Linked DNA regions of Bombyx mori. The protein of the gene in region 3 interacts with the protein of the main gene of each other region in a pairwise test. Links are inferred from orthologs where the notes say so. Each region holds a gene or a part of one and is shown on either strand. Other genes may lie near its edges.

What was found.
Region 1: the proteins of ral guanine nucleotide dissociation stimulator (region 3) and Ras1 interact in a two-hybrid assay, tested with the Drosophila melanogaster proteins (2 studies listed by BioGRID). The link is inferred for Bombyx mori from reciprocal best matches to the Drosophila melanogaster genes Rgl and Ras85D.
Region 2: the proteins of ral guanine nucleotide dissociation stimulator (region 3) and Ras3 interact in a two-hybrid assay, tested with the Drosophila melanogaster proteins (2 studies listed by BioGRID). The link is inferred for Bombyx mori from reciprocal best matches to the Drosophila melanogaster genes Rgl and Rap1.

Annotation. Positions count from the first base shown.
Region 1 is NC_085127.1:13,617,353-13,622,376, reverse strand, and holds the end of Ras1 (ras-like protein 1), read left to right. Parts: exon of another isoform or gene 1-976; intron 977-1,050; exon of another isoform or gene 1,051-1,271; intron 1,272-2,732; coding exon 2,733-2,915; 3' UTR 2,916-3,556; downstream 3,557-5,024. UniProt on the Drosophila melanogaster protein: Ras proteins bind GDP/GTP and possess intrinsic GTPase activity. Plays a role in eye development by regulating cell growth, survival of postmitotic ommatidial cells and differentiation of photoreceptor cells.
Region 2 is NC_085112.1:14,077,456-14,084,308, forward strand, and holds Ras3 (ras protein), read right to left. Parts: upstream 3,756-6,853; 5' UTR 3,645-3,755; coding exon 3,090-3,644; 3' UTR 1,552-3,089; downstream 1-1,551. UniProt on the Drosophila melanogaster protein: Ras proteins bind GDP/GTP and possess intrinsic GTPase activity. Plays a role in photoreceptor cell determination.
Region 3 is NC_085110.1:13,023,083-13,029,443, forward strand, and holds part of ral guanine nucleotide dissociation stimulator, read left to right. Parts: intron 1-236; exon of another isoform or gene 237-958; coding exon of another isoform or gene 959-1,027; intron 1,028-1,407; coding exon 1,408-1,512; intron 1,513-4,165; coding exon 4,166-4,317; intron 4,318-5,202; coding exon 5,203-5,313; intron 5,314-6,361.

The DNA.
Region 1 (5,024 bases), on a different chromosome or scaffold from region 3:
CTGTTGTCAACTAACACTGAGCGTGTGAAAAACACACGAGTGCCCAGGTGAATTCCTGCCACTGGCCCTTCGATTTATTAATGGCCATTTGTCAACAATGGCTATTCTTAAAATAAATTGTCATCAGTAAAGTAAGCTAAGCTGTTAGGCTATTATCACATATAACACAGATTGACAATCTTTAAATTCTTTAAAACAAAGAAGTTTTTAATCACGTTGATGAAACCATATTGTTATTACGCTATCTAAATCGACACGCACGCCATCAACTGAGGAAATCGGAATGATTATAATAGTTACTTCTGCCAAATTAAATCCCAGTTAAAATAATATTAAAATTAAACTATTCCCATGGGAAGCCATCACTGTGATTATAATGTGTATTATGATTAAAGCTATAATACCATATATTAATGAATGTCAGAACTAAACTTTGATCAAAGTTGGAATCCCAAAGGAAAACATTACATCCAAATCTGATTAACTGTTTAAGCATGATTGAGTAACAAACACCAAAAGTCTTCACAAACTACATTTATATTATTAGTATGATATATTTTTAATACAATTGAGATGGAATTCATGTCCCAAGTCGTGTGGCAGCGTCGATAGGTTCCGGTAACCTCTGCAATCTCCTTGCGTCAAATCCTCAATGCTGGAGGTTGTGATCACCATTTTTCCGTATGATGTTCCTCCAATAATTCCGACTCTCAGCTGCACATGATGTCTCGGCGACCTTGATTCGGCCTGTTAGGCGTATTGGACTCTATCATTTTTCGCTCCAGTTTTCTGGTGACGATCAATTTTTGAGGAGGACTGCTGTAACCATTTGACGTCAGATTTTTTTTATTGCTTAGATGGTTGGACGAGCTCACAGCCCATCTGGTGTTGAGTGGTTACTGGAGCCCATAGACATCTACAACGTAAATGCGCCACCCACCTTAAAAATGTCCATCAGACATATGTCTATCCATAGCTATAAAACAAACAACTTTGTATGTAAACACGTTTAATTTTAACTTAAATACAAGTTCCATAAATGTTTATCACCATAATATCGCTTAACAAATACAAAAACATGACGTCGTTTAGCGGCCATTGTTTCCCTTCGCCTATGTCATTCGTTCGATCAGTGACGTCAACGACAGCTAAGAACGTCAGCTTATGACTTAGTGATTCGTTAATAATATCAGCTAACGTCATATGTTGAGCATCGTCTTTGCATCGATAAGTCGGTTTTTCACTTATCAAATGAAATTTTTTAAGCTCTCGTCACGGTTTATATTTGAATAATTCCAAACCAAATTTAGAAGAGAGAGAGAGTGTTCTAATGTAAACCAAAAAAGTAAATTGTAAAAAAGTTTTTTTTTATTGCCTTTTTTGATGGGTGGACGAGCTCACAGTCCACCTGTTGTTAAGTGGTCACTGGAGCCCATAGACATCTACAACGTAAATACACCACCCACCTTGAGATGTAAGTTCTAAGGTCTCAGTATAGTTACAACGGCTGCCCTACCCTTCAAACCGAAACGCATTACTGCTTCACGGCAGAAATAGGCAGGGCGGTGGTACCTACCCGTGCGGACTCACAAGAGGTTCTATCACCAGTAATTACGCAAATTATAATTTTGCAGGTTTGATTTATATTACACGATGTTATTCCTTCACCGTGGAAGTCAATCATGAACATTTGTTAAGTGCGTATTTTATTAAAAAAATTGGTACCTGCCTGCGGGATTCGAATACCGGTGAATCGCTAGATACGAATGCACCGGACATCTTATCCTTTGGGCCACGACGACTTCTGTAAAATGCTAAACATTAAATACAAGAAAAAAGTACAATTGGCGGTATTATCTCTAAGAGCGATCTCTAAGAGAGAAGCATAGCATACTTTATGTTCAATAGCGGGGACGTAGTAATAAACAAAGAGGCGGTCCTGATATTAAGTGGTTACCGCGGCCCGTGGACATCATAGTCTGAAAGTTATAATTGTTTTATTGCCGAGAGCAGTGAACGAGTTCGCGACCCACCTTGATTACCGTAGTCCATAGACATCGCAACGTGAACCACGAGGCATGAGGTCGAAATCCCGATTGTTTAACAACTACAGCTGATCTCACGTTGCATTGTCTATATCATATCTGTCTCTTATGTCCCAGTTTATCGTTTTTAATCAGATGGACGTTGAGTTTAAACTTTCACGTCATGATAACAATATCGATTTGCTTGTGGTAGCCTCTGGGAACTCACAGTGCTCCGCACCAATAGAAGTACTCGCAACCGGAATTAAGTATAAAGATATGAGTTATGTTGGAATATGGACCGATGATTGAGGAGTGATGGGAGTAGTTATAATCTAGAGGTGGCCTAGGTCACATACGTATCTTCTGATTAATAACCCCAGAGATTGACATTTATGACCTCTGTTATAATTCCATTACCAGTAATTTAATTTGGACAAGACCTTTGCAAGAGTATTAAAACCAAAAAGTCCCTATACACCTATATTAACTTACGTTACACAACTGATTCAAAAAAGTACCTCAATTTCGATAACTCTAAGCATGTTTCTTGAGAGTAAAATAAGTTCTTACAACTCAAATATGGAAAACCGGCCACCACCTGCTTAGCTAAGCCCGGGTATTGTTGATGTTTATAAGGATTTATGATCGCACACAATGTGGTGGGACGTATGCTCCTTATTTTAATACGTAACAATATTATTGCAGGTGGCGCAAAGCTATAATGTTCCGTTCGTCGAAACATCGGCCAAAACACGCATGGGAGTTGACGACGCTTTCTACACGCTCGTGAGGGAGATACGCAAAGATAAAGTCAGCCGAGACAAGAAATTCAAAGGGAAGAAACCACGTCACGTTCACAAAATAATTAAAGATTGCACCCTTTTTTAAGCTGAAAAGAGCTGCAGTTTCGGAATTACACGCTTGTCTTTCGCCTCCACCGCCCATATAGTATTACAGACCTCATAAAAGAAGCAAGGCAGAGATTAAATTTGTAGTTTTTGCATGCATTGTATCGTGAACCATTAATTTGGCGGTAAAAAAACCGGTTGTGTCACCTTTCGAAAACAGTACCATAGATTATATTACACGCAAACGGATATGTTGCCAATTGTGCGGGTGTGTGTGTGCGTTAGCATCTCGAACTCTGATTTGTCCGTAAAAAAATGATTTTACTGTAGACTGTAGATCACGAAAGAACATCCTAAGAATCTTAATTAATACAAATACAAATTGCGTGTCTACGTGTTTATATGTGTGGATACGGCCGTCTGGCAAGCGTGTAAACCCGGCATACGTCACCGTTCACTCGGCATCGTCTGTAGCGAGCGAATAATATATTTCAATTTACAAAAACCTTGGTCTTACGAGATTTTATATCCATTCTTCATAAAGGGACTGGTTGTTTGTTGCAAAGTCAATTTCGTTTTACAAAGAAAATATTAGTGTAGAAGAGGCAATAAATATAATAACTAAAAAAATCGAAATTCCTTTCCGAAGCATTTTGGCCTAAAGATAACATCGTTTTGCCATTAAAAAAATACAAACAAAAAACTTAAGAAATTACAAATAAATGAAATGTAATTTTTTTTTTTGTGTTCTGAATTATTATTTATTATAATCCAGTTCCTTTTATTACGTCTGTCAGCCGTTCGCTTCTAACTAGGTATAATATAGAAGGTCTTTGAAGATAATTGAACCAGTTTAAAAAATCCTTAAATAAATAAATAAATAATTAAGTTTCATTATCCGCTCAAACGGCGGCATTAAATAAGGTATAATATCAAAATTTGTTATCAATTTAATGTATTATTAATAAGATCATTGTTGGATGTTTTCTACTGTAGCTAATGTAATGTTTAGCGCGACTTTTTTCTATATCTACAAATCGAGAGCTATAATGCTTGGTTCTCTTCTTTTTTTTCTATGCATTTTTACTGTTGTATGTTCTAACGACGCTGTTTCAGATACTTTATCATCTGCAGGAAGCCTAAATTAAAATTGCCAACGCGAACAGTAATTTTGTAGGACACTATAAATTCAGAACATACCTGTCGCAGTGTACAATGAATCATGCAAACGAATTTTTTTTTGGGTTTTTTTTTAACAGAATAACAAAATAATATTGTCATTTTACTGTAGTTTTAGTTGTATTGCGTTTCAATACGTAGTTTAAGTATTTTAAGTGAACAAAGTGCAATCGAAAATACAGTAATAAAATTAAAATACACAATTTTTTTATTTTTGTTTGTATTTTTGTTTGCACGTTGTATTTAGTTTTATTTAGAACAAAACGCGGTAAGGCGTTGCCATGGAGACAGTACCAGCAATATCATTGCCATTATATATATATTATTTTTTTCTTACAACTTACCATCAAAAATGTAATTTTTGTTTAAAAATTTTCTGTATTTATGGAATAATTAATCAAATGAAATTTCACGTGTAACGTTCGTGTCATACGTTTTTATTGTATAATTAATAAAATAGGAGTTTCGAAGCTAATGCACAATTTTGTTGAAAATAGTTTTATCTTTTAACTCTAAAATACTGTAACTGTATAGCACAATTGTGTGCTCATGAAAATAAATTAACTAAGTACATACTATTTTTATTTTACAACCGCGGTCCAATCCTCCATTTTATCAATAGGTACTGCATGATTTGGAAAAAACAAAATGACCTACATTGCTATGCATATTGCTAAACTATGTCTCCGGTTACTATACTGTAATTAGACAAAGACAAACACTAACATTGTGTTTATGTTTCGTTACATACTCATAACTGTTTTTAAGCTACTGCATAGCTTCTATCGCGGGCCTTGAGCGCGGCGACTGAATCAAGAAATTCCGTAACGAAAATAACCTGACACCCCCCACTACGCCTACTAGGTAGCTCACGTTAAACACATTCACACGTTGCACTTGTGTAGTGTTTGTGAATAAGCGCGCGGCGTGACGTCGCACTGCCGCATGCACATCATGAAAAGTCTGCCCA
Region 2 (6,853 bases), on a different chromosome or scaffold from region 3:
ACTTGTTTACTTACTATAAAACCATTTTTCAATTAACGAATTAGGTTAATTGGATCAGGTTTTCTTTTTTTTTAAAACAATGACGTAATTCATAATTTTGCGTCCCAAATAAAAACGAGTTGTTGTAACGAAATGTGATTTAAATAAGTTTACATTACCAAAAAAGTACATGGGAAAATATCGTAACTGCCCACATTAACAGCCCGTTTACCGCCCACTTTTCGAAGAATGTTCTAGTCGTTATGTAATCCAATTCATTTTAATTGAAAATAAAAGAGTTCTTACAATTCGCAAAATTATTCGCGACCAGCTTATACGTGAATAACGACATTATTAATCGTGTTTGTTATTCAAATTATTCAAGTTCAACTATTCTATTGTAATTTTAGAGATGTATTCGTAAGTAATTACCATGAAAACAATTCCGTCCAATTGGGTTTTAAAAATTAAATTTTAATCATATTTCCGCCTCGAATTACTTATGAATCTTAAAATTGTAGTCTTAAAAACACAAATTTTTGGATTAAAACTTTAGTAGTGAACGAAATAGAATTTAAAAAAAATTAAGATAATTTTTACACGTTCCAAGTCGTAGATATCGGATTGTCGATGCACTGGTTTCCACAAAATCATATCGCACTCGAAGGAATTTACACTTATCGCTATGTATTTTTACGTACCTACAGTTATCATAAAGCAAATTTCATATTATAGAAAACGTATAGGTAATCTGGTTTCGGATATAGTTAGTTGTATTGAATCACAATTTGACCCCGCTGCGTAGATAAGCAAGCTAGACGTTGCCTAACATCCTGATAAAAGCGAATTGTTTTTATGCAGCGTACTTATACTGCATTGTTATGCAAGTTTTACTCTGCATTCCATTTCAAAACGAAATCGGGAATTCGAAAAACTTGTAATAAAACGCTCTTATGAATGTGATCAATAAAGAACGTATTGCGTGGGAAGTCTATATAGATCCAGAGCATTCAAATTGTGACCTTTACATTCACGGCTTTTCAAACCCACCATATTGCAAATTAAGTTTAATTTAGCTTCATAGTTCATCCCATGGTGTGCTCGATCTATGCGTTAGATCTTGTTACACAATATGGGGTGTGCCAGTGGTGAATTAATATAATACTTATTTTATCTAACTAGCTAGATTGCTTGATTATCATAGTTCTGTCGTACTTTGTTAGAATTACGTTAATATGTAGGACTGTGTCAATTCTTATGTTACTAGAATGTCGACATACGACCGCCACGTCTCACTGCGTTTATATTTAATATTATTGTGTGTTCTATAACGTGTAAGCAACACTTTTTATGTATCTTTTTTACACTGAAATAAAATAGTAGCAGATGATGTGCTGTCGTTTAATTTGATTATAAACCATTAAAATTCTCCGAGTCAATTGGTGTTTATTTGATTGTCGGTGGGGGTACGTCGCGCCAGGACCGATAGTTGTACCATGACTCATCAGACACTAACCAGGTCAATTGACATGAGGGGAGCATCACGGGAGGGACAAAATATACCCTAAGACATCATATTTAAAATTGGTTTTATTGATAAATTTGCAAAAGAAAAAGAAATTAATATTTATTGTACATGTCGATTATTATTGATCGAAAGATAAAAATATACAATATTTTCTTTGATTTGCACAATATATATAAAAAAATATAATTAAAAACTCAGATCAAAGTTTTTATACCAATATCCTTGTGCAGTAGTCATTAACTTTAACAGAAGAAAAATTGAGGAAACATCTAATTCTCGTAACAATATTTCAAACATCTATCATTACTTTTAACAAAGTTCTAGCAGCAAAACGTTGGCTGGTATTTAATTAATATTAAAAAATGAGACTGTAATTAGTAAACTTCATTTTATTTATAATAACGATAATTTTTATTTAGAACTCTTTATATTTTTAGGGGTCAATTGTACAGTGCCAATGGTGTAAGCACAACAAATGGCACAGGACTCCACCATAGAGACATCAACAACTATCTGCAGGGTGCAATCACCTAAGGCTTCTCTAAAATTTAAATTTATCAAGTTCTAAACTGTTACGCTAACATTCTCTTCAATACACTTGAATTATATAACAAGACAATAATATATCTGAAAAAATTTAATGTATCCTTAATTATTAAACATTACACTGGTTCAGACCAGCTGGCACAGAATACACCGAGCTTGTCTTCTACAGCCTCCGTCTAAATGTCACATAGACATAACGGATAATTCCAATCAGTACAATTAGACTCTAGTTAACAACCTTATGTTAGGTCCAAACAGCAAATAAAAACTAAATGCTTAATAACTGGCATTTTAACAATTTCAAATGAATAATATGAATTGTTTGTTTAATGCGTGTGCCCTTGATGCGTTTCATGGCAAATGTGTTGTTTTCTCAGGAATTTTCCTGTGTAATTGACAGAAGACTGTCTGTACCCAACACGGTTATTTATAATAACACAATTCATAAAATTTTCCACTGAATTTTGAAAAAAAAAATGGAATTGATTCTAATACTGAGGAGGCCATGGAGAGTGCATGCTGACATCGAAAAATATTTACTGTGGAGTCTATTACGGTTTGTTCAATCATATACTTTGAAGTTTTAGATAAGAATGGGACACACTCCCCATAGGCTCAAAATACAATGTTTTACATCATAAGTAGTAAAGGAATATTTTTTTTATAATCATTTACAACTTCGCAATCTAACCGCATCCACACAATACAAATGGAATTTTCTAGAGTGAAACACACAAAGACAATGAATTTATCCTCAAATACTGTACTATCAAAATAGAGTAAGATATTATTAACTACGCCTGTACAGAGAAAATGTGGTTATCATCAGTGACACTGGATTTCACGAGTGTTACCGCACATGTAATATACAGTGTAACAAACACACATTCTCATACAGGTATTTTGAAGCAACAATGTTCATCACCCGACCTAGATAAACTTTGGGAACTGCCGAGAGCCAAATCTGGGTACAAGAAGTCTTTCAAATTATTAAATATATTTATACCTAGACGCGTCGGAGACTCGTACAGCACTCTTACAGAATAATACATTTCCGTTTATTAGGTTTGTGTTCATCCTTCTTGGGGGACTTCTTGTTGATCTGTCTCACTAAGTCATAGAACACATCGTTAACATGTATTTTCGCTTTTGCCGACGTCTCCATGAAAGCGCAGTTGAAGTGGCGCGCCAGATTTTGTCCCTGTTCCTTGCCAACCACGCGCTCCGCCTCTAGATCGGTTTTGTTGCCTACCAGAACCATTGGCACGTCGGTCGTGTCCTTCACTCGCAGGATTTGTTCACGTAGATCCTGTAGGTCATTGAACGTAGACTGTGCTGTGATAGAGTACACCAACACGAACCCTTGCCCGTTCTTCATGTAGAGATCCCGCATCGCGGTAAACTGCTCTGTACCTGCGGTATCCAGGATCTCGAGCATACATTGCTGTCCATCAACTTCCACTTGTTTCCTGTAGCTGTCTTCGATGGTTGGGTCGTATTTCTCGACAAAGATGCCTTGTACAAATTGCACTGTCAGGGCGGACTTTCCCACGCCTCCGCTGCCTAACACAACTATTTTGTACTCGCGCATTATTCCCTATATTGTGTCACTTGAATTTGTTTATAGAAATTAAAGATCAAATCGGTAATAAGCACATTAACTTGGTAATTATTGCAAAAAAAACCTTCAACAAGTCAAACCGCCATGACACCGTTAAGAGGGCGATGGCTCACTATGTTAGTGTTGCTGACTTGAAAAATTAACCTGATTTCCCATTGACTACCTACTATTCAGTTCACTAGTATTAAGAATATAAATATTTCTACTCACAAACTATAGTATATCGACTCGGCTAATTTAAATAAAACTATTTTTGTTTCGTGTTCTACTTTTAGCAGACACAGAACGACTAATAAAAAATCATGAACAGGACGCTGCACAGGACCAGTACAATTATTTCATTTAGAACAATCAATTGTACTGACTAGCGAATAAATGCATTAATTTAACAAATTTTCGTAAAAAATAATTTTATAATATTAATTAGTGTAATTTTTAAAAAAAGGAATCGTATGTTATTTGATAAATTTTTCGTTTTTTTATCTATGTAGCTAGTGTAGCTACGCAAGACAATTTTTATTTATTTAGACTGCTAATAGTTCTAAAAGCTGTGTACAGAGGGCAGTGCAACAAATTTTCAAAAGGTTGTCGCTAAGGACACGACACTTTAGGGAGAATTAATTGTTATCAGTATAAGCTATATTATAAATTTTATTTCTTTATATCATCCTCCTGTTTATTTTTTATTTAATGAAGCAATCTCAGTTTTAAAGGAGGCCGTTCCAATGAATAAAATGGTGTCTTCAAATGCCTCATGCTTTAATACGACTGGGTCGCGAGATCTCCAGGGCTTTTTTTTGTTTATTGCCCTTGTAGGCAGACGCAGTGGCGGATTTACCCTAAGGCCCGGTAGGCCCGGGCCTAGGGCGGCCAGATTTAAGGATTTAACGTATGGCGGGCGGACTGCACTGCATGATGCAATCTATACCGCATCCTTAAATATTCTTCTGTTTTTTAAACTATTTTTTTTCCTACTTTTCTAAATCTATTTAGCTAAAAGTTGGCAATAAAGTAATTTCATTATGTAGTCTATATGGTGGATGCTGAGAAAGGGGCGGCTAATGGCTTGGGGCTTAGGGCGGCCGAGACTGCAAATCCGCCACTGAGCATACGGCCCACCTGACGGTGAGTGGTTACCGTTGCCCATGGACTTCAACAATGCCAGGGGCAGAGTCAAGCCACTGGCTACCGCTTAATACTCTCCACGAGCCTCGTTTGAAGAAGGACATGTCATAGCGCTCGGGAAACACCGTGGAGGGGAGCTCATTCCAAAGCCGGATGGTACGTGGCAAAAAAGACCTCTGGAAACGCACTGTCGATGAACGCACGGTTCCAGATAATATGGATGAACTCTGCTCCGATGGCGTGAGGTGCGATGATAAAAAGGAGATGAGGGGATCATATCAAACAATTCTTCAGAGCACTCCCCATAGCACATACGGTACAAAATACAGAGGGAGCCGAAGTCCCTCCGCAGACCCAGAGGCTCCAAACGATCCGTGAGAATGGGATTATCGACAATCCGGACCGTCCTCTACTGTATGGAGTCAAATGGAAGAAGCTTGTATTTGGGAGCCCCGGCCCAGAGATGGGAGTAGTACTCCACGCGAAGCCGGACTCGTGCTTTATAAAGCAAGTCTTTGTCCAGGCGTGAAGTACCGCTTCGCTCTGTTGAGGACTCCCAGCATTTTGGACGCTAGCTTGTCTTTACTTTCTAAATGACTCCGAAATTGGATATCGCTCGAAATGTCGACCCCAAGTATCCCTATACTCTCGGAAGGTTGCAGGGATAATCCTTGGAATTGCGGCGCCATGACAAAGGGGTCCTTCTTTACTAACTTTCTTTCACTAACTAAAGCCCACAGATCTACTTGTACAAGTAAAATTATTGCGTTTGAATTGTGAAAAGATTACATTCTTGAAATGCATGTTGTAAGTTGATAATTTACTATTAGTCTTTGATTGCATACCAGGAAGATGATTCACGGAGGTTAACGTCTTCAAGAATGTGCCCAGTCGTGAAGCTGTAAGTCATGTCAAAGTGAGCCATATATTGTCGAGTCAAACACATTTAATGGGTTAACACGTAGAATTTCTATGATTCCGAGGCTGCCCTCGTCTATGAGAATTAAAAAATATGATAATTATTATTTATATTTTACATTCATACGGACAACGCTTCTGTGTATTCTCTGATTGAGTGAAGGAAGATGTAGGGTGATACTATTGAAGTTTACATAAATATTTATTGATTGTATTATATAAGCTCGAAAGGGCAGGTCGCGAATTATACGTCGGCTGGGCGTCCTTGGGGTGAGCCGCGCCGTCTGGTTGTAGAGTTGACCGCGGTAGCCCCCCTACCTCATCCGGGTTCTGACCTCGGAGGGGATCGGACGTCGGGTGTAAGAGTGCAGGGGAGTCGTTTAGTGGGTGGGTCCTAAAATCCTTGGGCCCGCGGTCTGCTCACAACACCATGCAGATCGTTGAGTCTCACATACCCCGCGCGCCCCTTTTGCGCGGGGACCTCGTAGGAGGTTCGGCCCTCTACCCGAAAAAAAAAAAAAAAAAAAAAGGTCGCGAATTATAACTAATACGTTAAACTAATATGCCAAATCGTGCCAAATCGTGGCGGGTTTCCTTAAGCGAATAAAAATAGCAATAATGAATTGGTTAAGAAAAGTTGGGAAAAAGATAGAAGTAGACCCCCTGATTATGTAAAGAAATCGATAATGTAGGAGCAATCTGGCAATAGCAGCTCATAAACAGGGTTGTCAGGACAGTAAAATTAAAGAAAAAATTATACAGCTCATCGCCAACTTTGGAACGATTTTTTTTATTGCCCTCTTAGGTAGACGAGCACACGGCCCACCTGATGGTGAGTGGTTACCGTCGCCCATGGACTTCAGCAATGCCAGGGGCAGAGCCAAGCCGCTGCATTGTGTTGTCTCGCCACTGAATGCCTTAGCAGCCTATGGATATAGGTATTCAATGACGGTTTGAAGCGATACGTAGCTGTTGTCAAAAGCTACATAAGCTACCAATAATTCCTTAACGCATATTTGGTTTAACTGTTAGTTTGTAACAAGACTGTACTAAATAAATAAACTATTATAGTAACTATTGCACTTGTTTACTCACGTAACCCAGGCTGAGCCCCCTGAGCTTGTCTAGATGTCCGG
Region 3 (6,361 bases):
ACTATATTCTGTTTGAAGTTATTTACGAATAAATATGTGAACATTAAAAATTTAGAATTTTAGTAATCTTGCTTCGACTTATTTCAATGTTATCCGATACCTGCTGAGTAGTAACGTATGAATGCAATCCTATTAGGTATTGTACGTATGTGTTGAGCACGTGTTGTGCCCATTATGTTCATTGTTTTAGCTCCGTTGCAATCTAGATCGTCTGCCCCATTGACGTGTTGTATTGCGGTTTTTCACGCGATCTCTCCAGCACACGAGAACAGTCATGCCGTGACCGCGCCGTAGCATCAGCGTTTCTGCCACATAATGTTTTTATGTACTACTATTAAATAAATTCATTGTTTTTACAAGTGAATTTTTGACCTACATAAATTCATTGACATCGTTTCGTTGCCCGGTTGTTTTGTCAATTAAATTAAACTTTAAGTGCCAGTTAAGTGTTCTGTGGATGTGAAAGTTTTAGTCTTCAATCGAAATAGCACATAAACATTGCGTACAACTATCGTCTTAACAATTGATATTTTAATGGCTCAATGGAAGTGTTGTGAATGATTTTGTGTTTTGATTTGAATATGTACGAAACTTTAATCGTTATTATTCGTGATTGATTTTGTTTTCGAGTAAAATTTAATGAAAAATATATAGGGCATTCTTTTAGCTGACATAAAATACTTATAAAGTGGACGTTCAAGCCGGATACAGTTGTCGACATGTATGCCACTGTCCGAGTGTGCGGCGATTTCACCAAAGTCACGCACGTCTGAGCTGCCAGCCTATTCAGTCGGTGTTCGCCATTGATTGATCCAGTTATAAGATTCTTTGGTTTTGCCGATGGTTACTATAGTGTGATGTCGTAGATTAGCGCGCCGTGGTAGTGAAAGTAAGCGCGATGCGGGGGACGCTCAGCTGAGCGAAGTGACGTCGCGCGTGACGTTCTCGGATATGGGCCATGTGGAGAATATGCGGCGTCAGTAAGGCAGAGCCCGTACTGTTTGCTGATAACGTAGATAATGATTATGTAAGCGTTATACAATTGCATACCATATTGTCCGACTCGAGTGATCTATGTAATTATTGCATGTTCTTTATCTTTCCTTGTAAGGTGCAATACTTGTAATCATTCGACTTAATGATTATAAGGTGATGACATATATAACTTTGTTTGTCTTTAACGTATTAGTATTATTTAGAATGCACAGGCGCCGGGAGTTTTATGAATTGTCGGCAATGTCCGTTTTGTCATTAGAAGATTGTGTTATCTGTTTGAGGCAGCATACCCTCGATGAAGAAAATGTAGGCTTGACAGTTAAATTGTGATTCAAATTTAGCTTTTTATTTGCGTTTAATGTTTGTTTTAATTTAAGCTGTTTGTGTTGACCTATTTCTGGTGTGTTCCAGCAGCCAACATGGCGGTTGTGGGGGGAAGAGCGCGTGGACGGCGCCATCTACACCGTTTATCTGAAGAAAGTGCGTTACCATCGACCTACCAAAAGTGCTTCAAGTGTAAGTATTTTTAACTATACAAATGTTTCCGACAGCAAAGATAGGCTGTAGGGAGACATTACTTTACTGTGTTGTTGTTATCTCGCCTCGGCGCCAAGGATTTGTTAATTTGATAGATATGTATTTGAATTTTTGCTTAGCGCTAATAATGGATATCGTTTTTAGAACTACTTTTTACTACGGTTTAATCACGCGTTTTTTATTGTCGTTATATTATTTCCAACTTTTTCATTGCGAAAACTGCGAAACGATTACTGTACAAGTGGTAGGACCTCTTGTGAGTCCGCGCGGGTAGGTACCACCGCCCCGCCTATTTCTGCCGTGAAGCAGTAATGCGCTTCGGTTTGAAGGGTGGGGCAGACGTTGTAACTATACTGAGATCTTAGAACTTATATCTCAAGTTGGGTGGCGCATTTACGTTGTAGATGTCCATGGGCTCCAGTAACCACTTAACACCAGGTGGGCCGTGAACTCGTCCAAACATGTAACAATTAAAAAAAAAAGTCAACGTCTTGCGACGACCGATTAATTCACTACATTGTTCTTAGTCTATGTAGATAAACAATAAATATAAGCATTTCGATATAAAAAACGCAATGTGAGTGTTAGCAATAATCTCAATTACACGGCTAGCAATTTTCTTTTTTGGCGTATCGATCAGGTTAACTGGTCGAATTATTTGATGAATCATGTAAATAAACATAACCCAAAATCGTATACAATTTGGAAACTCGAAACACTTTAGCTATAAATATTAATAACTTAAAGCATTTATAGATAGGTACATATTACATTTAGTACATATGTACATCTAGTATATATGTGTATGTATTAATTTAATTTTATTAATGTAGTAGGAAAGATTTGTATTATATTACTTTTTTATTGCTTCCATAATTCTTTGTAAGAATAAGAACGGTGAGAGCATGGCCGTGAAGAGGTATGACCCAAAAGTGGAGTCAAAGAAAATCCATAGTATGAATTCTGCCTACATTCAATTTCTTATAAGTTGTATAAAGAATAATTAAAATAAATTAACAAAATTAAAATAAATGCATAAATAAGGTATCAAAGCCTTGTTTTGGTTTAACAGTTAAGTTGATTAGGTCACTACACCTTAAAACCATTCGTACTCCTTTATTATAATCAGTATATTCTTCTAGAATTATATGAAGTCGTCGTGGCCTAAAGGATAAGACGTCCGGTGCATTCGTGTTGAGCGATGCACCGGTGTTCGAATCTCAGGCCAGTACCAATTTTTCTAATGAAATATGTATTCAACAAATGTTCACGATCGACTTCCACGGTGAAGGAATAACATCATGTAATAAAAATATATATATCCGTAAATGTTATCATACAGGTAGACAATTTTATTCAAATAATATCGAACAACGAACATCTAATAGCAAGTGTACCTATACGCTGTTAATTCGATTGGTGGTCGCGATAACATTATAGTTGTCGAATTAAAACAGTACGTAGCAATAATGTTGGTTTTAACTTTTAATACAGCACTCACATCCCGGATGACCAAAAGTAATATGAATGTGCACACCATTAATGAAGTTACGTACAATTATATATTAAATGTTTATGCTAATAAATGTATGTTTTGATGTTTCAATGTAATATGTGATAAACGAAATCAGACGTAAGTGTCGTTACTAGTGTCACGCCCGTTGTTATTTTTTCACTTTACGTATGACGTATTATATCCATACTATATGATGACGGAGGTTTGCTCGGTTTTTTTTTTGAAAACGCCATCTTTTCGTGTCTTTAAAGCAGTTAGTTGCCCTCAATTAAGAAAAATAGTATTATTATTCGCCAATAGATGTCGGGAAGAGTTGATTATTGAAAACACGAATAAAACAACATTTTCTGAAAATAAATCGTATCGAAAATATCAGTACCTTACAAGAAAATGTATTAATAGTATGAATTTAAAATTTGCGGTGTTAGTGATTGCAGTCCAATTTCGATTATTACTATGCATGTGGAATTGGGTATAAACAGACTCACATCACCACAGAGAAGTAGATGTTTTGAAGCCATTAACTACTACTAAAAATGCAAAATGTTTTTTCCATGAAACTATTCTTGCTTTTGCTTGTAACAATTATTTAGGTAATTGCGTGTCTACATTATGATGAAGATGCAACAAATGAGTTTCTTTTCCCACGGTATTTATCTAGTGATTGGGTTATTATGAGAAGAGGTAGGCGCTAGACCATTGTTAAACATAATTAGTACTGCGTATCGAAATTATGAATGACTTTACAATGGTCGGTAGTGATTCAATGTTATCTAATATCTAAACTAAAATCTTAATATCTAAACAAGCGTAATTAGATAAACTGTGAGTACTCTGAAAATTTCATAATTCGAACTAATAAGGGCCTATTTAAATTCAATAGATTTCATTGTAAAGCAATTAATCATACAAAATTATGTTTTGTTTAATAACGGGCACCTAAATATTAGTCAGAATTAATATTAGTCAGAAGTAGTTATTTACACTTTTAGGTCCTTTTTCCATCGAGAACATTTTACGGTAGGCTACACATGCAACAACACTTTAAAGATAAACATAGATCCTTTTTGGTTTAAAAAATCGATATAACTTTTTAAATTCGTTCCTATTTTCCAGGAGTCTGACGACGAGATCTCACATTTAGAGTGGGAAACCGTACGTGTACGGTTCGTAAAAGCCGGCACAGTCGAGCGGCTAGTGGAGGCGCTCGCTACCGACGACGGCGAACTCGAGTCCACATACGTCAATGTGTTCCTCGCGACGTACCGGTTATTACTATTACTTATTTATAACTAGCTAACCCGGCAGACTTCGTAGTGCCTCAATCGATAAATAAAAGAGAGATAAATAAGCTTTTGTTTAAAATAAAACAAACAAAAGGAATCCGACCGAGGGGGGACACATCAAAGGAAAAACAAAATTGTTATTTTTATTTAATTCCAGCATTTTCATATTTATCTACCTTTTAAACCTTCTCTGGACTTCCACAAATAATTTAAGACCAAAATTAGCCAAATCGGTCCAGCCGTTCCCGAGTTTTAGCGAGACTAACGAACAGCAATTCATTTTTATATAGAAGATAGATTTAGATTCCGATTCATATTTAATTTAACAAAAGATACGATTTTTTTAAACTTTAAAATGTATGTTCGTATACACCTCAAGTAGTTCAGTTCATAGACATGATAACTTTAATGACTAGTGAAGTTTCAATTATTACATAATCGAATCTTCAAATGATAATATGTATAGTATCTATAGGTACGACTAATTCTTTCGGCTGACGGTGTCTCTGTCATTGCTACTATCCATAGGCGACGCTAACCAATTACTGCCAGATGGGTTTTTTATTTTTTATGGCTTAGAGGGGTGGATGAGCTCAGAGCCCACCTGGTGTTAAGTGGTTACTGGAGCCCATAGACATCTACGACATAAATGCGCCACTCACCTTGAGATATAAGTTCTATGGTCTCAAGTATAGTCACAACGGCAGCCACAGCCTTCAAGCCGAAACGCATTACTGCTTCACGGCATTACTTATATTTATATAATTAACACTCTGACTTCATGGCCTATGGTGGATGTCAGCATTCAACTTATGATGTCTATGACGATAAAACTGCTATCACAAATTATTGTCATTTCATTTTCAGGTCATTCGCGGAATGCAGTCATGTTCTGGATCTCCTGCTGCGACGGTATGAAACCCTTGCCGCTGAGGACATACTTCCCGCTGCGACTGACACATCACAACAACACCGAAAGTATGTTTCACGTAATTTCTATTAAGATGAAGAATTAGATTGTAGTGTTGTTATTAATTAGTTATTTGTTATTTAGACGGATAAATCAACTTGTTTCCCAGCTAGTGTTAAGTAGTTAGCGAAGCCCATAAACTTCAAGATATTGCGATAAAAGCTCTAAGTCTCACTGTTATGGTATAACGGCTGCCCCATCCTTCAAAATGGAAGGCATTACTGCTTCGTGGCAAAAATAGGTGGAAAATAATGGGGTGTAAGACGTAAATAAGTTGTCATTGTAAACTTTACGGGGCTACCATTTTCGAATTTCATTTTATTTGTAAAATCCCATTTTATATTAATTTTTTTTTATTTGTTATGTTCAGATAATGTAACAATTTATTAACTTGCATTAATGATTGTAACTATCAACAAAATGTCACGTTATATAAACACTGAGAGCTTCGAATAAAGTATTTAAAAATTGTGCGTACATTATTAAATAGTATGAAGCAAATAGTGTAGTTCACGATTTCGTTATGTTTTGTGTTTCAATTTACTAAAGATACAGTTGAGTTCCAGTTTTTTTTTTATTGCATAGCCAGGTAAACGAGCTGCTGTTAAGTGGTTATCAGAACCCACAGACCACGTAAATGGCGACGTCCACCTTGAGACATGAGGCCCAACCTTCAAATCGAAACATTTTATTACTTCGCGAATTACTTTCGAGGGATGGTAGGAATTTTATCTAAGCTAGCTTTAAAAGTATTTGCATAAAAATTAAAACGGGTGCAAGAAAGCTGATGTGGATTTTTTACGCTCTTATTTCACTAAAGTTCATCTTAATAATCGACAACTTTTTTGTTGTATACAAAAGGCCGTGTTGGCCTCGCAATTAAAATAATAACAAAGTTTGTTTTGTTGAACACAAACGTTTCATATTTGAACCAGGATTTACTCCTATACCTGAAAAATATCGGGCCTGATATAAAAGAGGTGACCATGTGTTAGCGTATTGTCAATCAGATTAAATTGTGTACAGACGCTACAGCTAATAGAATGTAAATGAGCG